Pelodiscus sinensis: one gene and its partners. The protein of the gene in region 2 interacts with the protein of the main gene of each other region in a biochemical or structural test. Links are inferred from orthologs where the notes say so. Each region holds a gene or a part of one and is shown on either strand. Other genes may lie near its edges.

Region 1 (7,472 bases), on a different chromosome or scaffold from region 2:
TGCAGCCGTGCAGAAATGCAGCTTAGAGGGAACCCTGATTAGCAGTGCCAAAAATATTTTTAAAAATCTGAATTTTTGGGGAATTGAAAATTCTGAAAAAAATCCATGTCCGGTTCATGGATACATTTCCTTTGACAGAACAAAATATTTCATTTCAATTTCACGTTTTTACCCTTTTTTTATATAAAAGCAGTAAATCTGGAAACAAAGGGTTAGATTCACAAGGGGACTTAGATGCCAGTCACAAAAGTGAGGAGTCAGTGGGCCAAAGGGAGAGTTAGAATTACTATTTACTTTGGTAATTAGGGCATGCCCAGTTTCCAGTTCTTGCTTCAGTTAATTATACAAACTAGAACAGCTTCAAAATGGAGAGAGACCTATTCCAAGATAGCCAATAGCTGACACTCTAGGGAAGAGGGGAAACCTTCTTGCAAGTCTCTGCATTAGACTGGAGATTCCCCCTTGACTTTCCCACATCCCAGGTAAGCACCTACCCACTGTACTATTGGATTGTGTAGGGGAAGGCACAACCTTCTTGGTTTTGTGAATGCCATTTAAATCCTGTTGTGAATCTAGCTGGAACAAGCAAAACATTGGACTTAAAAATGTCCCAGTGTACCATTTTGATATTCCTGATTGTATTTCTTTTTATACTGAAGCAGTTCTCCAGCTCTAGTTCTGGACATTGTTGTTGGGAGGGCTAATGACTTCTGTTACATGCAACTGAGTTATCAAGTTGAATTTCCAGCCAGTCTGATCTAGCTGATGAGCCGCCTGCATCTGTTATTTCTAAGGCATTGTTCTCCATGACAGTGAGACTCCTACAACATACTGAATAGCTCCAGTTACTCAGTGCTTCATTTGTGCCAGGATTCACAAGGGCTGAGCACCCCTCGGCTTGGTAGTTCACAGCCCCAGCACTTCAGAGTCGCTGCATCAGTTATGAATAGAGCCTTGTGCGACACAAAATTTGTATCCGCATCTGCAGAAATTATCTCTGGAGATCCACATCCACATATGTGCATATAAAGCTGATATCCACAGATTTGCAGGGCTCTAGTTATGAAAGTAAGGGTGTGTCTAGACTACCTAGTTTTTGTCGACAAAACTATACCAGCGTCTACACTACCGCTGAGTTCTGTCGACATGATGTCGACAGAACTCAGCAGTTTTGTCGACGCTGGTATACCTCATTTTACAAGGCATAACACCTTCTGTCGACAGAACTCTGTCGACAGAAGGTGTTATTGCCTGTAACACTGCGTCCAGACTACGGAGTTCTGTCGACAAAGCAGCTTGCTTTGTCGACAGAACTCAATGTGTCTGGACGCTCTTTGTCGACGGAAGTTTTGTCGACAGTATCTGTCAACAAAACGTCCGTCAACAAAACGCGGTAGTCTAGACGTACCCTAAAACAACTGCTTGAGCCCCAGCACTAACTTGCTTAAGCCCTGGCACTTCTTTCATTACAAATTAAGCACTGCAATTACTTTGTCCACACTTGCAATGTGTCTCGCACATGTCACTCAGTTTTGGGCTGGTCTCGAAGTATTTCACTTTCACTGCTCTGAATTACCGACAACAGGAATGTTGAAAGTGAGAGAAATTGAGGTCAGAGAAAATGGGCCCAGTTCTCTCCTATCTTGCCCTTGTATAGTCATTTACACTTGTCCAGTATTCAATATTCACTTTGTTCATGGGTGAATGATTACTCAAAGTGCAAAGCAGTGGAGAATCAGGTCTGACAACCAGCCATAAGCAATTCACAACCAGTATTCATAGGTAGATCCTAGAAAAGGAACAACCTCATCTTCTCAGGGTTAGAAAATATACATTTAAATGCAAGTTGCAGGAGTGCAATATGATAAAAAAGATGTCCATGTAGCAGCCAGCTGTCAGTTTCCAAAAGTCATGCTCTGTCCAACTTTTTAAAAAGTACACTGACCTTACTCTCATTTGTAGTCGGAGTCTATCACTTCAGAGTAAATAAACTTAATATTTTTTGCACATTTAGCAAACTGCCAGTTCATTCTAAGTTCAATCAGAATAAGACTGGAAAAAATTGTTAGGGGGATGTTCTTGCAATTTCCTCACTTTGCTTCAGGACAGATCTGTGAATGATTACAAGATTTGACTGCTGCTCTCTGATAGAAAGAGGAAATTATCCTAGAAAAAGATTTTTTATCCCTCCACTTCAAAAGTTTGTTATTTTTAATAGCTGTTTAGTCTTTTCATACAGTTAGGTCTTCTCCACACAGCAACCATTTACAGGTTGGGTTTTTTTCACTGGTTGGGGCACTGTTGATGAAATACACTGCTGGTACTCACGTAACACTAATCAGATGCTTAATTAGGTGATAATCACAATAACATTTGATTAAGTCACAATGAAGATTGCTGGCATATTGTTAATGGATCTGGGGAAATGTTGGGTCTTTGGCTTTTTTCACAATAGCAGCAATATGAAAGAACCACATGGGCACAGGGAGTCTAAATAACTGTGTTTGCTCAAAAAAACAACAAATGGTTGTGTTGGTTCATTATCTGTATAACATGCAAGGCCAAACTACATATACACACTACTGCTTTGGTAGGGTTCCTGATGACTTATGAAACACAGAAAACAGTGAGGGCCATTAATGGACTCACAAACTGCTTAAAGCATATTACCAACTTTCTATAAACTACATGACTAGCATGTGTGGTGGTGTAAATTACAAAGCTTGGAATATGCTGACTGTCCCTGTATAAATGGGACATCTGGTCACCCTATTATGCACAGAAAATGTCATGGGAAGTTTGACAATAAGAAAACACAAATGGGAGCGTGAAACAGCCGCCTCACCCACAACCAAGAGTAGGCTTCTGTGTCCTCCTCTGCAGATTCCCCCTGTGCACCCAACAAGCCCTCCCAGCCTTTCAGCAGAACCTGCAGTAACGTGTCCTCTGCTGTTGTGACGCCAACCGCTTGTCCCCTCACGTCCTTACGGCCCTGAGATGACAGGTGAGAAGGGCACCTACGCGTTGTGCTGCAGTGACGTCACGCGGCATTGTGATGTCATGCCAGATGACGACAGATGCACGACGACGCGCGAGGTCGCGTGCTGTACCACGCCTCCCTCATCCCCCAATGGCGACCACGCTCGTTCCGGGCTGGGGGGGGGGGCGCGGCGCGTGCAGAGGCCTCCCTCTGGCGGTCGGAACCGCTCAGAGCCCAAAAGCCTCCTCGTGACCGACGGGAGCAGCTGACGGGCGGTCACGTGATTCTCAGGGCAGTTGCTGGGAGGTGCAGGTCGCCGGCGACCCCGGTTCCGTGAGTGGCGGGTCCGGGCGGGGGAAGGGGGCGAAGGGAGCTTCGTGCCTGGCTGGGGACAAGGCCCCCCCCCCCCCGGGGTCTGGCTGGGAGGCTGGAGCGTCCCCCCGTGTGGAGCGGAGAGTCCCGCGTCAGCTCCTCCCTTCCCCCACGCGTCGGTGCCTTAGCGGGCGGCGGGCGTCTCGCTGCCGCGGGGGCCGAGGTCGGGGTCCTGGCTGCCCCTCGCCCGGAGCAGGCGGGTCCAGCCCCACACGTGGGAATCCCTGCGCTGGGGAGAAGCCAGGACCCCGCCGTCTGTGCGCTTTCAATTCAGTTGTAATGATTTGGCTGGTAAAATAAAACACTTAAGATGGATTTTTAAATACAAATCCACATTTTTAATGTAAAACTCTTATGTGGCTTGTTGCTGCTGGCCAAGACTTTTAAGATGCAAAAAGTGTTGTATCAGGAATCTGCACTGTCTCCTGGGGCTTAATATTTGACCTAGACTGCAACTGCAGGGACTGAAATCCAGCAAGACCCTCCAGATCTTTGCGTTCCCCGGGCTACAAGGGTGCACAGAACCTTGCAAGGTAGCACGATGACTAATTTAAACAGTTGATTAATGTAACCACATCCTCAGTTTTTATAGTATAAAAACTCCCATTTTAATATGGAGTACAAAATGAACAAATTGATTTTGTCCAGAATGTTATTGGAATTGAACATGTAAAAACTTTTTATACAACAAAACAGTATTTGTATACCCAATCTATGAGTAATTTGAATGAAACTATAATTCCATTCAAAATATTTTGAACAGTAGCTGCAATATATAGTGTTGCATTCTGTTGGAGTTTCACTTTGTTGTTTTTGTAACTTTATGCGCTTAAGTGCTAAGTTGATGTAAATGAAGATGGGAAACTATCAAAATTTTTGCAATGGAGGGTGTGTGCAAATACACTTTTGTCATAAAATATTTTGGAACATAAGCCCTTTCAATAGCTTCTCTCTGTCAGAGGTGTTGATTTCTTTAACGTAAAATCTGATTAATCCAGGGTTAGAGTCCTCAGTGAGCTGAGCTGGAATCTTATTTTCTAATCCAAAGGTTAACCAGAAATATGTAATAAAAAAGGTCAGACTTTGCACAGCACGTATGGATACTTTGAACTATGATGACTTTATACTGATTTGAACCCAAACAAGTTTCTTACAAGAAGTGTCACAATTGACTGCACACCTTTCTTATTACAGGCCTATAAGCAGGGCCGGCCTTAGGCCGATTCAGCCGATTCCCCAGCATGGGGCCCTGCACCCAGAGAAGCGATGTTTGCGCCGGGAGCACAGCGCATGTGCAGAGAGCCGGGAACACAGCGCTTGCGCAGGCCCTCCAGGCGCAAGGCGCATGCGTCGTGACATTCCGGGCGCATGCACCTGGAGGGGCCATGCATGCGTTGTACCCCCAGGGAACTGCGCATGCGTGAGTCCCTGGGAGCACTGCTCATGTGTCGTGACATCTGGGATGCGCAATGCATGCGCCGTGCCGCCGAGGGCCCCACACGTGTGCGGCCCCGCCCCCGGAATCGGGCCCTGTGCTCCGTAGAGCCGGCCCTGCCTATAAGGATCAGGAAAGTATGCTAACACTATCTTCCAATTTGCAGTAATGGAACAAGAACAGGATCCTGTTACTCTAGAAGATGCAAACATTAAAGCTATTAAAGAAGAGTTCCAGAAAGCCTTTATGCTAGTCAATAAAGGGCTGAATACAGATGAATTGGGTCAAAAGGAAGAAGCAAGGAACTACTACAAGCAAGGACTTGACCACTTGCTTAGAGGAGTTAGCATTCCATCACAAGGTCCTGAATGTACAGGATCCCAGTGGGACTCTGCCAGACAAATGCAGCAAAAGATGCAAGAAACTTTACAAAATGTTAGAACTCGACTGAATATTCTAGAACAAAATACCCCTGCTATGCAAACCATCACAATGAATATGCCTCAACAGGTGCCCAAGTTATACCCAGTGATACCCACTACTGAAAAGCCAGAAAGGCCCCCTGAGCCAAATTCTCTGATTCCACCATCTGGGCCTCCTGCAGTGAATGAAAATGTTGCAACTACAAGCAAAGGGCAACTTCCAGCTATGAGTCCTTCATCTCCAATAGCTCACTCTCTACCACATGAAGCTCCTCCTGTGTATACTCCTCAAGCTACTGAAGGACACTATACTGTATCTTATGGTACGGACACAGGGGAATTTTCATCAGTTGGAGAGGACTACTATTTAAAATGCAATCAGCCTCCTCCCATTGAAAGTCTAGGAGTAGATGCAGATGAATTGATCCTGATTCCCCAAGGAGTACAGATATTCTTTGTGACTCCTGATGGGCAGGTTAGTGCTCCTTCATACCCCGGATACCTGCGCATTGTGAAGTTCTTGGACACTGATAGTGCAATGGCCCAGAATCGTCCCCCTGCGTTTCTTCAGGTAACAATTCTAAAGTTTAATTTTAGAATACATTGCATCTAGTATTAATTTTTGCATATGAGCTACAGTTTTGTAATGAACCATTGTGTTACTATGAAACAACCAGTAGCTAATGGAGGCATGTACATTTATTGTATAGATGCCACTAAAACACACTCTTGTGTCTATAAAGAAATAGCTTTTGTGTCCGTCTGAGAGTTCCAAGACTCTAGATATTTCAGTGGATTTTTTTTAATGGGAATGGGTTGGCTTTTAACACTTTTTTTGATATTACAGTATTGTTTTTTCCTTTTGTAGATAAATTTGACCTTTTGAATTATATACTGCCATTAACTGAATTAGTGTATGAAAGGTCAGTTTTAAAATGGCTTACATACTTAACTTTCTAGCTGAACGTGTTAGTACAGTTTAGGTGGATAACTGCATGGTTCTGAATTTCAACCTAGTTATGTGAACGAGGGATAGAACAGATTAGGTATCTGAATGTTTAACTATTTAACTGGTAAGCCTTACCCTTAATCAGCACAGTCCCTGCAAGTGGCTGGGGGCCACTCCAGCTCAGTGGCACTCACCCTCTTCCCCCTTAATTGGTTAACCAATTAAATGTGATTTTTACATTCCCAGAACAGATATTTTAGGTTATCTAGTCCACTACCTTGCCAGTGCAGCATTATTTTTTAATATGTTTTTAGTGCTGTTTTTCTAGCCTCGTTTCTAACCTTATTCTCTTTGAGATATTCGTTTGGATCTTTTTAGCCTTGTTTACAGGGGGGAAATATTCCCACCATTGTTTCAGGTCCACGAGTGCTAGCAGCCAGTGTTCTCCCTCAGATTTTCCAACCATGAGAGGAGTGAGTTTTGGCTTGTGCACCAATGTTGAGGTCATGTGTGCTGGTTTGGATGTGTGCCACCCTGGCACCCAATTTATGAACACACACATTCCTCGCCACCAGAGCAGACCTCCTCTCCCCCCCACGGCCATGTGGCAGGTGCTGTTCCTGGTCCCAGCCACCAGAACAGGCGCTGGCCACCCAGCAATGTGGCAGCCCCAGCCACCGGAGCAGGCCTGCCCCTTCCCCCCTGCCACGTGACTGAAATAGGTCCCAGCCCCCTGCTCCAGCAGCTCCTTACCACACTGTCTCAACTGACCCCACCCACTGGAGCAGCTGCCTGCCACCCAAGTGTGTCTGTGCAGCTCTCTGAAGGAGGTGGGTGGGAGAAGAATTTTTTGTGCACAGCCATGCAGAAGCACGCCTTAGCAGGAATGAAGAGCTCTAGATAGCCCTTTGGCAGCCAGGCCCATTCTTTACACTGTGTCGTGTAAGCCTGCGCTGAATGGAGCAGAATGGCAGAGGGACTGTAAATCCAGCACCCGCTTGGCATTATGGTAGGCTCCTTCTTCTGAAGCTGGGATTCCTGGGTCTCAGTAAAAGGTTGCTGTGCTATACAAGAGCCCTGTGAAAATGAACTGTATTTGTTACTTATTTAACTTTGTTGGTAACCTATCGAGAATGATGTATCCCAATAAACTTTTCAGGATCACTTTGAGGATTTTGTAATAAAACTACATGGGAGCCTTGGAGTCTGATGCTAATCTGTACAGATCCTTCAACAGACATTTCTTTTGGCTTATTTATACAATTAAAGGTACTTGTCATTCTCAGGTTTGTGACTGGCTGTATCCTCTTATGT
Region 2 (7,282 bases):
TTTAAGGTGCTACTAGACTATTTGTTGTTTTTTAAGTTTTTCCTGTTACAGACTAACTCGGCTCCCCCTCTGAAGTTTTCCAATATTTCTAATGGTAATCAGAAAAGACACACTGTGCTCTCTAATGGTGAAGACTTTACTGTTGTTCTTACTCTTGGTTGCTGCTGTCCTCAATCTAAAGTGAAGTCCCTTGTTCTGGCTTACACAACTCTCTGAATTTTGTGGCTGGCGAAACACAAGGTACATTTGCCTTTGCTTTCAAAATGAATTAAAACACATGAATTCAAAAATTAGAGTTGGGCAGATTGATAAGAGCGTGTGAGGTAGATGGGTTTGTTCATGGATACGTTAGTCACTGCTACATCAAAGCTCACATCAATCTAAAATCCTGTGTTTAACTATCCCCCTGAACTTCGGGAAGTTCACTCCTGATCCCAGCTTCCCAGGGCCTATCTCTGTGCCCTAGGATTATATCTGTTAGCTGATTTCATACTCCTGGGATGTGTCTGCATCCTGTGTTATAAGGGGACTTGCAGAGAAAAGCTCTGCCTTGGTCATGAGACAGTCTCCAACAGAACATGCCCAGACATATTATCTGAGAGAGCAGGCCAGCCTGAAATGTGCCACTCTGCATTGTGGAAGGGGTTAAATCCAAAACAGCAACAATCGGAGGTGCTGAACGTTCAGCAAGCACCCTGGAAACAGAAGATTAGATGCTTTATTTAGCACGTATATTTCTGATCCAAAAGAGCCTCCCAAATAGATGTGAAACACACCCAGCCTCAGCTGGAGCTGTACCATGGCAAGCCACCAATGCAGACAGGGCTTGGGTGTAAAACTTCGTTGCCCTAGAGCAGGGGTGTCCAAACTTTTTTCAACGAGGGCCAGATTTGATGAAGTGAACATGCGTGAGGGCCGACCATTTTGCCTGACATTCTTTGAACCATTAAAATTAAACGCAAATTAACTATTTTATGCAAAGTTTATTGCACACGGCATACTTTTCATTTCGTCACATGGATGACAAATCTAAACAGGTGTTAAATCACTCTGCCTTTCATATCTGAAGGCCAGATGAAAAAAAAATCCAGGAAGCTGAAATATATGTCAGGAACATTGTAAAGTACATTACATATTATTGGTAATAAAGGTTGTCTGTCAACTTTTAAGTTCAAAAAATATGAACAGGAACATAACACCAAGTATACACATTGTGTCCAAATATATTTATAACTGATTTAGACCAACTGACATTAACTGAGATTTTACAATGTATTCATCTCAATACATATGGATTCGTTGGGGGCCATAAAAGATAGATATTGCCAAATTACCTGGGGATATTGCCAAATTAAACCGGAACACGGGCCGCAATTGGCCCGCGGGCCGGACTTTGGACACGCCTGCCCTAGTGAGTTAGTTAGCCTTGCTTTTATACAGGTTTGCAGTGATGCGGTGACCCCAGTACAGACAAGTCCTGAGATAAGGGGAAGGCAGATCTTACACTTCAGGATATAAACTGGTCACAGAAGAGATCAGGAAGGAATCTTTCTCCCTCCGTCTTTCCTCTCTTATATGCAACAATTATGTAACTGTTTAGGAGCGCAGGCTCTGATCTTCTCAGGGCACTAAAGAGCTTAATTTCCATTCACTGCCATGTGAGTTAGCTGCCTGTATTCCCTTGTGGGCCATGGGGAGGTCGTTGTGTTTTGGTTTTGCTCTGAAGCAGCAGATACGGTAGCTGCTACAGAAGCTCGGGACGGAATGAATTGGGTCTGCTCTGGTATGGAAACCCTATTGAGAGAGTTAGTTTTCGACTGCCTTGAGCCAAACCAAAATCTTGCAGCACGGGAGCCCCTGGGAAGTCAGAGGGCAGTGCTCCCAGCTGTCCTTACCCATACCCAGAATACGCAGCATTGTAGGGCAGTGTTTCTCAACCTTTTTTATTAAAGTACCCCAGGACCCACAGTTTTCAGACACACAATTTTATTCTACCATTGCAACGCATTTGTTTAAACAACTTCATTGTAGCTGGGCAGACAAAATTTTTGGGTGTAAAAAGTACAAAAACAAAGCGCTGTAAAAAAACAAAAATTCAGTGTTCTCCACATTTCAGTTGTGTTGAAGTACCCCCCAGACTTCTCTCAAGTACCCATACCACTTGTTGAGAAACACTGGCATAGGGGACCCAAAAATTTGGGGCACCACTGGATCTTAATGTCCATTCACCCACCTCTTCCTATTCCCTTCTGTGGCTCTGCTTCCTCAGCAGAGGATCTAGTTAACTGACAAGTGACAAAGCCTGCCAGTCCCATTAGCAGAACACTGATCCTGTGCAAGAGCCATTCTGGTGGAAATGAAGCCATGTCCCAGGCATATGCCAACCCCAGGTCTACTGTCAGTTTCTGAATGCACTGAGCACTAATGTACACAGGACCTGGGTTTAAAATTTGCTTTATCATATTTCATTAGTGTGTAGCTGAATATTATAAAAGACTCACCCCGTGGGGCACCGGGGCACCAGTGTAATTACACCGTAGGGCCCCATGAACCCTAAGGAGGGCCCTGGCAATACTAGTAGCTAGGAGCAAATGCCCTGAAGTTCCTACCAGTGAGCTATGAAGCCTAGATCTGAACATTAACAGTTCATCCAGGACCGGGCTAGCCACCCTCTAGCCAGATGTGCCAAGCCGGTAACATTAGGAGAGACCTCACCTGCTCCTCCGCAGCCACTTCGATCCTGGTGACTGGAAGGGTCGGGGCGCAGATACACTGGCTGGTTCCGGGAGCTGGCCGTGGGACCGAGATTCTCAGCTAGTGCAGCGGCTGCACTGGCGCCTCCTGGCAGCTGATCCAAGCTGTGGTACTCAGCGGCCGGGCCGTGGGGTTAGCTCAGCCCCCAGCAGCGCAGGCTGCCACATATCACCAGAGCCCCCAGTCCGGGCTACCGAGCTGGTCGCAGCGCCTGGGACTGGCTGCGGGGGGCGGGGGAAATCAGCTGTGCGAGCAGGTGGGGAGGACGGGGGAGGAGCCCTGTGCCTGCTTATCTGGAGGCTGGCAGGGCGCAGCGCGTAGAGCGCAGCGGCTTGGAGAGGCGCAGGGCGGGGAGACTGCGGCGAGGTGAGAGGGCGGGGGGGATCCTGTCTTTGTCCCCGTTAATCCGGCCAGGTGAGAGGGCGGGGGGGATCCTGTCTTTGTCCCCGTTAATCCGGCGAGGTGAGAGGGCAGGGGGGATCCTGTCTTTGTCCCCGTTAATCCGGCGAGGTGAGAGGGCGGGGGGGATCCTGTCTTTGTCCCCGTTAATCCGGCGAGGTGAGGGGGCGGGGGGGATCCTGTCTTTGTCCCCGTTAATCCGGCGAGGTGAGAGGGCGGGGGGATCCTGTCTTTGTCCCCGTTAATCCGGCGAGGTGAGAGGGCAGGGGGGATCCTGTCTTTGTCCCCGTTAATCCGGCGAGGTGAGAGGGCGGGGGGGATCCTGTCTTTGTCCCCGTTAATCCGGCGAGGTGAGGGGGCGGGGGGATCCTGTCTTTGTCCCCGTTAATCCGGCGAGGTGAGGGGGCGGGGGGATCCTGTCTTTGTCCCCGTTAATCCGGCGAGGTGAGGGGGCGGGGGGATCCTGTCTTTGTCCCCGTTAATCCGGCGAGGTGAGAGGGCAGGGGGGATCCTGTCTTTGTCCCCGTTAATCCGTCCCCTTCCCCGCCGCAAGGCTGCTCCGCGCACCATCAGCGACCCTCGCTCTTCCGGGGCGCGCCGTTGAGCGGAGGGGTCTTTCCAGCTCTTTGGCCCCCAGACACCGGAGCGGGGTACCGCTCTCACCCCCTTCCCGACACGTAACGGGGATCCCACCCTGGGGCGCTTGAGGCTAAGCGCGGCCCCTCTCCGAGGGGTCACCCGGCACTTCCCGGGGCGCGGCCGGGGATTTCTCCCAGTCCCTCTGCTCTGGCGCTCTCGGTTTCGCTGGCTGGGGAGCCTGCCGGGACCGGCCCCCCCGCTCGGGGGCTGCGAGAGCGAAGATCCCGGCGCTACCCTGATCCGGCGCCGGGAACCTATTGCAGGGTTTGGGCTGCCGCCGCCCCGAGGGCTGGGACTGGGGCGCCCCCCGCCGGCACGAGCAGGGCCAGCGCTGGCGAGGCAACGCCGCTGGGGTCTGCAGGGAGCGCTGGGGCGCGTCGGGGCTCCGAGCGGGGCGCTGCGGCCGGCAGGGCGGGCGGTGCCCGGGCATGCCCCGCGGGGGGGGGGGGGGGGGGCGTTAGTCACACTTGCTATGAGGTAAGAGCCCGGCCCTGCTGCGAGGGCTCCGGAGTCACTGCCAGGCGCGCCCCGGGCTGGGCTTCCCCGAAGCGCCGGGCACAGCCAACCAGGAGGAGCCGTGATCCCGGTGCCGGTCCGAGCTCATGCGGGGCTGACTGCTGGCACCTCCCCCCCCCGCGGCAGTGGCGGGCCCCCGGCGAGGCACAGCCCCGGGGGCAGTTGCCGCAGGTAGCTCGGGAGAGGCCGCGGTGACAGGGCGGGGGGGCTGGCAGCCAGGGGCGGGACCGGATCCGTGAAGGGTGGGCTGGAAGGTGTAAACGCGCAGTGGCTCCGCGCCTAGGCTGCTCCAGATGATGCAAGCGGGCTCCTCTCGGCAGGGAAAGCGTGTGGCATCGGCATGTCCCGGGAGGGGTCGCTGGGCGCACGGGGTGGCTTCCCCCTGCGTCCGGAGTGACTCCTCTAGCCCCTGCCTCTGGTGTGAACGAGAACGGGCATCCCGGCGCCTCTGTCGGGCTGGAGTGTCCTGGGCGATAAACACCCCCTGGTGGGGGACGTGGGGCACTGAAATGCCTGCGCCGCCCCCGCTCATTGCTTACCCGGCTAGTTCCTAGTGCTCCAACTGCCTGCTAGGCTGCGCTGCCTGACAGTCCAGCCGAGTGACCCCAGCCACTTCCTCCCTCCCTCGCCTAGAAACTGCAATGCCTGGAGTACATGGCCGCAGAAGGCTGAACTTTAAAACCTGTCCCTTGTGACTTCCTTCCCTGACTTGGGTGTATGGAGAGGAAGGGGGCTGCACTGAGCTCCAGCCAGTCTCTGTGGAAGTCCTGCTGTCCCTTTCTCTTGCCATAGTCTCCAGCTGCCTCTTGAACCAGATCATGCTGTGATCCACTCAAGGGACTGGTAAAGATGCCCAGCTTCACCAGGAGCAGGTTCCTGAGCTAGGAACAGGCTCCAGGGGTGGAAGATCCCGAAGTGAAGCTGGAACACAGTGTGTTCCTCAAAGAATCCCAAACAGTACTGGAGCAAAATCGCCCCCTATGCTCCTCGCGCACACCGCTCGGCCTGTGGGGCAAATGAGGCAGCAGGGAGATTTGCCCAGGCAGCAAGCTCTCCGCGCTTGGCGTGTGACTGATTCCATCCCTTTGCAACTGGTATCCAGTCACCTGTGGGAAATGGGCTTAGGGGAGTGATGACTCATGTTAGAGCAGTCAGGGTGCGCAGAGCCAGTGACAAGCTGTTTCACTTGCCAACCCAGCTAGGTAAGCACCACCCTGGTGATCACAAACCTTACACTGTATCTGCTACTTGTTCAAGTCTGCAGGACTCTTACATGGGTTCCCAAATTCAGGGGTGTGCCCTGCTGGTGGGGGTGTGAGAAAATCCCAGGGTGGGGCAAGAGGTGACCCAACCACCACCACCCGCAATCCCACCCCAAGTTTTGCTGCTATTTTGGGGGGAGTGGGGCATGAGGGTTTCTCAAAAAATCAAAAAGTTTGGGAACCACTAGCAGAATTGGGAACCACTAGCAGAATGTAACAGGACTTGCAAGAAAACTTCAGTGTATGAAAGGAAAGGAAAATGACTTTGATGCTTCTTAAAGTCCTCAACCACAACCCCCCACTCCACCCCACCCCACCCCACCCCACCCCGGTGTCATCTGACTAAGCGTAATGCTTCAGCCTACACTCCCGACTAATGTGAGGTGGTGCAGTTTGGGGCCTTGCTATGCCTGCAAGGGGCTGAGCTACTTAATGCTACAAGGATAGCTCAGTGGTTTGAGCATTGGCCTGCTAAACCCAGGGTTGTGAGCTCAATCCTTGCAGAGGCCATTTAGGGATTTGGGGCAAAAATTCATCAGGGATGGTACTTGGTTCTGCTGAGAAGGCAGGGGATTGGACTCAATGACCTTTCAAGGTCCCTTCCAGTTCTAGGAGATAAGCAATCTCCATTATTAAATTATATTAAGCTACTTCAGTCTAGGTAGGTATGATGGGAGGGGTCCTCCCAAAGAGGCTGTAGTCCAGCTGGTGGAAGAATTCTCCCATTGACCCAGCATTGTCTAGATCAGTGGTCTCCAACGCAGTACCTGCAGGAGCCATGGTGCCTGCTGGGGCATTTATGTGCACCTGCCGAAATATCTGTGCTGGCCCGGCGCGTGGCACCTGCGCAGTGCCGGCACAGGATGCGTGGGCAGCCCCACCCCCAGGAGCGCGGCACATGCGTGGCCCCACCCCCAGATGCCTGGCACGTGAGCGGCCCCGCCCCTGGGCAACCGGCAGCCACGAAAGGTTGGGGACCACTGGTCTATATGGTGACTAAGGTCTGCTTTACAGCACTGCCCAGGGGTGTGGATTTTTCAGGTCCCTGACTGATGCAGTTATATGAACCCCGGTTCCTAGAATAGAGCAGGCCTTAGACACTGATTTAAGTCTAAGTCAGTGGGAGACATTAAGAGCACTCAGTATCTCTCAGGAGAGGGCCTTCTGCATTCTAATGGGTGTGAGTGTTTGCTTTTAGATGCATGAACAAGTTGAAACTTGTTACCTGCCAGGGCTTGTTTGGACATGCTGGAACTTGACTGCTGGCAGTGATGTCATTCCACTGAATTGTTTACAAGGGTGTGAACTGTCAGGCGACACGAGGGCTGATTTCTATTTTTATCTCTTGGCCTCTTCCTCTCTGGGTGAAAAGGCAGAAACAAAGTGGGATCAATAGAATATTATAGACAGTGAGACTATTAAGTTAAGGTTCAAGATATATAGAAGCCAAATGCCACTGTAGTGCGAAAATCTCTTCCAGATGAATAGCACAAGGCTACATTGTCAGACTGTGTGAGGGCAGAGCTGAACAAACTATTCGCTGCTTATTACAGAGGTGAGAGTTAACTCTGTTACTGGAATACAATGAATTCTGTGTGGAATGAAACCCGGTTCAACCCAAACCATTTTGGGGGTTTTACTTTATAACCATAAAGTAACCCTCAAACTCTTTAGCTCATGAAAATCTCTTTTCAAGCTAAGCATGTAAAATT
Region 3 (6,967 bases), about 7.7 Mb from region 2:
GCAAACATGTGTGAGCCCATTATGTCTGGTATATGTCCTGAAGCTTTCAATTTCAAATGACATTGTCCAGAAAATGTAGGGACCAAGAACCCAGCACTGTGGTTTCCCTTTGCTTGGCTAAAGAAAATAACATATTTTTACTGAAAATGTGGGATTTAAGCCCTCTTCACTTTGTATACAAAAGACGCTTCCAACAATAAATGAATAGGGGGCAGGAGGGTCACCCTGGTTTGAATCCATCTGACTGGTCTAAAGAAATTGCTTTCATGGATTCTTCAAATATTTCATGCCCATGGAAAGTGCAGTGGAGGTGGATTTTTGGAATGTTATCTCACCTACTTGTATGCAGTGTGTGGCTTGAAAGCTTTTCTCTCTCCCCACCTGGTCCAATAAAAGATATTCCACAGTCAACCTGTGGAACTCCTTGCCAGAAGATGTTGTGAAGACCAGAACTTTAACAGGGCTCAAAAAAGAACTAGATAAATTCATGGAGGTTAGGTCCATCATTACTTATTAGTCAGGATGGGTAGGAATGGTAGCCCTAGCCTCTGTTTGTCAGGGGCTGGAAATGGATGACAGGAGAGGGATCACTTGATGATTCCCTATTCTGTGCGCTCCCTCTGGGGCATCTGGCATTGGCCACTGTCAGAAGACAGGATAGTGGGCTAGAGGGATCTTTGGTCTGATCCAGTATGGCCGTTCTTATGGTATTAAGTAACCCACCTTGTTTCTCTAATATCACCTACTGAAATTCCCCTTTTTCGTTTTAGGACTGGGATGGAATCAATATAATTCCACATACACTCACTGCTTTACTCCTTTGCTACATGGCAATAAGATTTTGTTTGTGTGTTGTGTAACACGTCATGTAATCAGGAACAAGATACTATTGTAGTTATGATGTTGGGATCATTAGAAATGGCACAGATAGATAGTGCTTGGTCCCATGTTCCTTGAAGTAAATGGAATTTTCAGTGCTAGTGTGCCTCATATCAGATCTGGTATGTACACGACCTTCATGTTTCTGGAGATGCAAAATGAAGCCTCTGATCAAAAAAGAATTTTTTATTTATCTTTTTCCTTTTCAGGGTCAATGTTCCTGAACAGGACAGATAAAGACTTTTGTCTTGTTTTGCTTATGCTCAAAAATAAACACATTTTTAAAACATGTTTTTTCTTACAGTCCCTATTTTTTGCAATGATTAAACATAGATTTTTATAAGGTCAAGAAAAAGTATAGGATGCCTCAAAGTGGTAGTGAATTCATCTGGGGGGAGAGAGAATAAACTCAAAGATCTGGTTGATCATTCAATCTCTAACTTCTTTGATCCTACATTCTTTTAAGATGATTAAGATGGAATGCTATACAACCAGCTGTCTAGGCGAATGCTCCTACAATGCCTTATAGTATACTAATCTAGTACCTGCTAATACTGATCACAGATTCCATCTTAGGTACATGACACTTCATCCAACATGTCCGTAATATCTATGTATTTAATTTCTCCTGGGCATGGTGACTTACACGCCTTTTTCCCAAGCCTCCCAGCTGACCCTTGGCCACCCCAGTCTGAATCCATGGGTCAGCTACCACTCCTCAGCACACCTAATGTGATTTTAGTACAGTAATACTGTGGGATAAACTCCTGCATGTAGCTCTTTGCAAAGCAGCATGGAAGAAGCATCTTCTCTGGAGACTTTTAATCCCAGAGTGGATAAAGCACTAAAATATAGAATAAGGAGCAAATGAATGGAGTAGATGATCTTGAAAGTATTTTCCACCACTAACCTCTATGATTATATGATTAATCACCCAGCTTCCAACTATTCCTACAGTTGCCATATTACAGCATTGTGGGAGTTACCAAATTCGTATGAGCTGGCCATTTCATTCTAACTCTCTCTTTTCATATTCAGAATTTTCTCAGAGTTTGACCTTTTGGGCTGAAATTTCTCATGCTCACTCTCAATCTCAACAACGATTTTAATTTGTTTTTATTCAAAAACTTGAAGAAATTCCATTCAGCTCTTTTTCTAATTCTGTAGTTGTGAAGGGAAAATATGTTTTACGTTTAAATGATGCAGTCTGACCTTCTTTTGAGCTTGGATAACTCAAAAGCAGCTTTAAGTCTTTGCACTTGACAGGCAAATAACCTGGAAAGCAGGCTCTAATCGGTGCTAAATTTGAAAAAAAATGGTTTTAAAAGAAGTTATGAACTTGTGAAAACCATGTGCTGAGCATACGCAGTGCTTTGAGTATGCAGAGGCATGTAGTAAAAGCTGTGAAAAAATAAATCTCTCATTGCTAACACTGGTACAGCTCCAACAGTGTTAGCAACATGAGGAATGTTGCTCCTCTTGTACACAAGCCAGGTGTTTATTAGTAGTAGTATTTGTATTGCAAGAGCGTCTAGAGATCCCAACAGAGAACAAGAGATAGTCCTGCCCTAAGGAGGCTCTAGTCTAAATAGGCAAGAGCTCAGGGTAGTTTTCAAAAGTTAAGAATGTATTCTTTCAAAACCATTATTACATGCTGTTAACACCAGTGGCTGCCGAAGCCTCATCTACACACGTTTCCAATGTTGCTGTCTCCAGGGCAGCTGCATTAGTATTAGCATTAATACTCGGATAGGTTTTGGAGGAAAAAGCCCAGTGCAGACATACTTTCAACAGACTCACATCTATCTGATTATTCTCATAGCTTCTAAGGGCTAGACAAAAAAAAAGACAAAGAAAAAAGTGGCAGAATTAACTATCAAAGAGACTGAAATAATAGATTAACAGAGCAGGCAACGGATCTGAGTTCCAGATTGTCCTGTTTTGAACATGAACCCCACGAGGAATAGTCATAGTGTGCTCACGAATCTTGGTTTTGATGCCGTAACTTGGTAACATTGGTGGTTGTACTCAAGATAGATGGATAATGTAGTAAAATGCAATGAATGCTAATGAAAAATAACAAAAACAAACCCCCTCCCCTCAAGTTATTTGCTCATCTGGGTTTCTGCAGTCCAGTCTCTTGCCTTTCTTTTGGGTTTTTGGACTGTACACTCTTCGACTCAGGGCAATGTGCAGTCATGCCTCGCGTACAGCCCGGCATGTTCTCTGAGGTAGTGTGACACGGATGGATTCCATGTGATGTGCTGTCACCTTGCACCACTGCCGCATGGCGATGTTTCCAGGTGATTGATGTCTTGAGGCAGGAAGACCAGCTATCCCCATGGCTTTGTCTTATTTAGGTGCCTAGTACCTCCCCTTCCCCCATACACCCAACCTGATTTTTCACACTTGCTGTCTGGTCACTCTGTCAGTGTTTCTCAACCTTTTTTTTATAAAGTACCCTCTATTTAAAAAAAATTATAAGTATCCCCAGTACCTACAGTTTTCAGACACAACAGTTTTTTCCCCAACATTTCTTTAAACAACGTAGCTGGGCAGGCAATGAAATTTATGGGTGTAAAAAGTACCAAAATAAAGTGCCGTAAAACTTAAAACAAAAATTCAGTTTTCTCCAAATTTCAGTTGTGTTGACGTACCCCCCCAGACTTCTCTCAGGTACCCCTCAGGGTACTGGTACCACTGGTTGAGAAACACTGCTCCAAGTCTTCCCCGGGCAGCAATGGGAGAGCTTGCATCCACTGGGTGGAATGAAAAATGAGCGTCCCTTACCACCGGCTGTGCAGTAGCAGCAGTGGCAAGAAGCCATGGAACCGGAGGGGATTTCGGGGGGCATGGGGAGGGGGCCATTGCTTGCGAAAAAGAAAACCGTGGGGGGGCGGATTTCACTTGCTTTGCAATCTGGAGCGGAGGGGCGGGCGACCGGCGCCCTGCTCCGAGGCGGCAGCCGCTTAGCCCACCATGGGACCCAGGGGGCTTGCACTGCAGCTCCTCTCCCTCCCCCCTCCCTCCCGCGAGCAGGGCCCCGCCCGTAGCCCCGCCCATTAACTTCCCGACGTTCTAAAAACTGTAACAGTGGATCCGGCGCTGTCAGTGCGGCGGGGAGCGTGGGGCAGAGCGGCCGGGAGGCAGCTGGCTGGGGTCGCTGTTGCTTGATCGCCCAGCCCCGCTCCCCGGCTGGGGGTGTCCCTCTCCCTGTCGCCAGCTCCCCTGCGCGCCCCCCCTTCCGTCCCTGCTCCGGCTGTCCCCGTTCTCGTGCCCTGACCCCCCAGGATCCAGACACATGGAGCTGCTGTGCGTGGAGGGGGCCCCCCGCGTGCCCAGGGCGGAGCGCGATCCCCAGCTGCTGGGGGACCGGCGGGTGCTGCAGAACCTGCTGAGCCAGGAGGAGCGCTATAGTCCCCGGGTCTCCTACTTCCATTGCGTGCAGAAGGAGATCAAGCCGTACATGCGGAAGATGCTGGCTTTTTGGATGCTGGAGGTACGGGACCCCCTCCCTCAATCCGGGTCCTGCCACCCCCTCCCTCCCGATCCATCCTGGAGTCCAACAGCAGCTCCTTTGCCTACCCTCCTTGGTCCCCACCGCAGATACAGGCTGCCCGGCTCGGGCAGGAGAGGGGCTATGCTTGCTGGGTGTGGGAGAGAGAGACCCACCCCAGTCTTGAGTGTAAACGGAGCAAAGGATTTAGTGGGGTCGCCTAGCGGTGGCGGCGGTAATGGAAGGAGGACAGTTGGGTTGGGAGAAGTGTTTTTTGGGTTTTTTAAGGTAGGGAAGTCACTTGGTTTGGGGAATCTGTATCAGTTGGGGGGGAGCTAATGGGGGGGCGGTTTGCAATGTCACTTGCTGCCGCGTGAGTTCCAAAGGAAACAATCTGATGGAGCGGGGGAGAGGCTGCTGGTTTGTGGGGCTCGGTCTGTGGTGGGAGGAGTCAATCTTTTGGGGGGGAGGAGGCAGAGGAAATAGTGGGATACGGGGGCATTTGAAAGACCCCCCCCAGGTGAAAGACCCCGGGTGCTTGGGTGGGGGCATGATTTCCACCTTTGCATATGCGGAATTGCAGCATTTCCTGCTGCACCGAGGGGGTAACACAACCTGCTCTCCTCCACACCCTGTTTTGCCTGTAGGGGTCCCTCCGGTTTTACCCCAGCCCGGAAACTGTCCGCTTCAAGGTCTCTGCCTTTCATCGGACAGTTGGGGGGGGGGGGGGGGAGTCCAATGCGGTGTGAGAGAAAGCCTGGGCAGAAAGATCCCAGCCTCCCACGCCGCTAAATTAAAAGGAATGCAATCCTGCGCACTGAACAACTCAAGGAGGAACATATCCCAGATGTCTCTCGCTTTTCATAAATGATCAAGCCCTGAATAGCCTAGATTGGGAGGAAAATGAGATTACACGAGGAAGAAATAGAATCTGGATTGAATTCAGTCTGAGGCTCTTTCCACTTCACTGGCTGTTGTGACATACTGCCTGGGTTTTTTTTTAATCACATGCCGATTCCAACTTTTTTAATTATCCTTTTTCTTAAGTGCACTTTCTGAGAGAGTTACTTGGCTAAAAGGTGTGTTGAGGCCTGATCCTGCAAAGCAGGGACCTCAGTAAAGTGGAAGGAGCCCATAGTAAAGTTGGAGGCGGTATCTTTGGGATTTCCCAATTTAATAGGATTTGCATTAGTAAGCCTAAACGTAGGTCCTATTGAAGTCAGTGGTACAACTTGCATTGACTTCAGAGGCAGCAGGATTTAGTTCTAAATGCTAATTTTTCATTTTTTATTTTGAATGAGGGTGAGAGGGAATGCAGCTAAACTTAAATCTGAAATGAGAAGTGAGTCTATTTTTTTTAAAAGGAAAAAGTCTCTGGCATGCGGTTTTATGTGGGTAGAGAGGACATTGGGAGGCAAAGTTACAGGGTGAAAGAGAAGGATGCCAGTTGCTATAGCACAAGGGGAAAATTCAATATTTTTCTGTTAAAACAAGGAAATATGGCTGTTCATTAAAAGCCTAGTGGCATGTATAGAAGGGGTTGACCTGCAGACTCCTGGGTTCTGTTTGTGCCTCTCATGAATGTGCCATAGACAGAGAAGGGGAGCCAGGAGTTTGAATGCAGTTGCTATCCTGGGCTCTGCCAGTGACTCTTTTTGTGATATTGGGCAAGTCACTTAGCCCAGAGTTTCCAAAAGTGGCAACTGATTCTTGGTGCCTCCTTTTTTGGGCCAGCTGAAGCTACATTGGGACTGGGTTGTTTTTTTTCAGAGGTGCTGAGCACCCCCATTTAAGGAGAGCAGAAAGTGATTGGCACATCTGGTAATTAAGACCTAAATCAGTGGGCCCTCTAGAAGATTTTGGTCTCTAACCTCTCTATTTTCCCTACTTCCCAGAGGAAAGGGAGGTGAACTGTAGCACATTGCATCAAATTCCCTGCGGGTGGTGGGCTGGAGTTACACCAATGGAGAATTTGTCTCTTAAACCTAAAAGGGCTTTGAGAGCACCAGACAAAAGGCTCCACACGTGCCAGAAACTATGGCAACTAGTAGTTTTGAAGTCCCGGTGCAGGCTGGGGCTGCCTTTAAAACCCTTCCTTTCCTCTGTTGGGTTCTGCCAGGTGTGTGAGGAGCAGAAGTGTGAAGAGGAGGTCTTCCCCTTGGCTATGAACTACGTGGATCGCTACCTGTCTTCAGTTCATACTCGAAAAAATCACTTGCAGCTCCTGGGGGCCGTCTGCATGCTCCTGGCTTCCAAGTTGCGAGAGACCATGCCCCTGACTGTGGAGAAACTCTGCATTTACACAGACAATTCCATCACACCAAAGCAGATCTTGGTAACCTCCCCACTCTGCCTGATACAGTCTCTCACCCACTCCCCAGCTCTCTTATCCTCTCTGTGCTGCTGCTTGGGGGCATAACTGCTTCTGACTTCCTTCCTCTGTTCTCCCAAGCACCTTCCCCCCCATGTTCCCCAAATAGCTTCCTTGCCCAACTGGACAAACTACCTTTTGGAAAGGTAGAACTGTCCGCCACACTTAGAGCCACCCTCTTGGCCAAGGTCCCAGGCAGCCCAGCTGTTATTCCCCATTGA

Evidence for each region. The genes of interacting proteins can lie anywhere in the genome.
Region 1: the proteins of CDKN1A (region 2) and CCNA1 form a complex in vitro, tested with the Homo sapiens proteins (2 studies listed by BioGRID and IntAct, with this or other methods). The link is inferred for Pelodiscus sinensis from reciprocal best matches to the Homo sapiens genes CDKN1A and CCNA1.
Region 3: the proteins of CDKN1A (region 2) and CCND3 form a complex in vitro, tested with the Homo sapiens proteins (2 studies listed by BioGRID and IntAct, with this or other methods). The link is inferred for Pelodiscus sinensis from reciprocal best matches to the Homo sapiens genes CDKN1A and CCND3.

What each region holds. Positions count from the first base shown.
Region 1 is NC_134711.1:295,437,916-295,445,387, forward strand, and holds the start of CCNA1 (cyclin-A1), read right to left. Parts: upstream 3,009-7,472; 5' UTR 2,930-3,008; exon of another isoform or gene 2,846-2,929; intron 1-2,845. Other genes in the region: SPART (spartin), read left to right, coding at 4,956-5,780, 7,445-7,472. UniProt on the Homo sapiens protein: May be involved in the control of the cell cycle at the G1/S (start) and G2/M (mitosis) transitions. May primarily function in the control of the germline meiotic cell cycle and additionally in the control of mitotic cell cycle in some somatic cells.
Region 2 is NC_134737.1:17,145,662-17,152,943, reverse strand, and holds the start of CDKN1A (cyclin-dependent kinase inhibitor 1), read left to right. Parts: upstream 1-4,273; 5' UTR 4,274-4,479; intron 4,480-6,767; exon of another isoform or gene 6,768-7,282. UniProt on the Homo sapiens protein: Plays an important role in controlling cell cycle progression and DNA damage-induced G2 arrest. Involved in p53/TP53 mediated inhibition of cellular proliferation in response to DNA damage.
Region 3 is NC_134737.1:9,470,690-9,477,656, forward strand, and holds the start of CCND3 (G1/S-specific cyclin-D3), read left to right. Parts: upstream 1-3,959; 5' UTR 3,960-4,180; coding exon 4,181-4,378; intron 4,379-6,494; coding exon 6,495-6,710; intron 6,711-6,967. UniProt on the Homo sapiens protein: Regulatory component of the cyclin D3-CDK4 (DC) complex that phosphorylates and inhibits members of the retinoblastoma (RB) protein family including RB1 and regulates the cell-cycle during G(1)/S transition.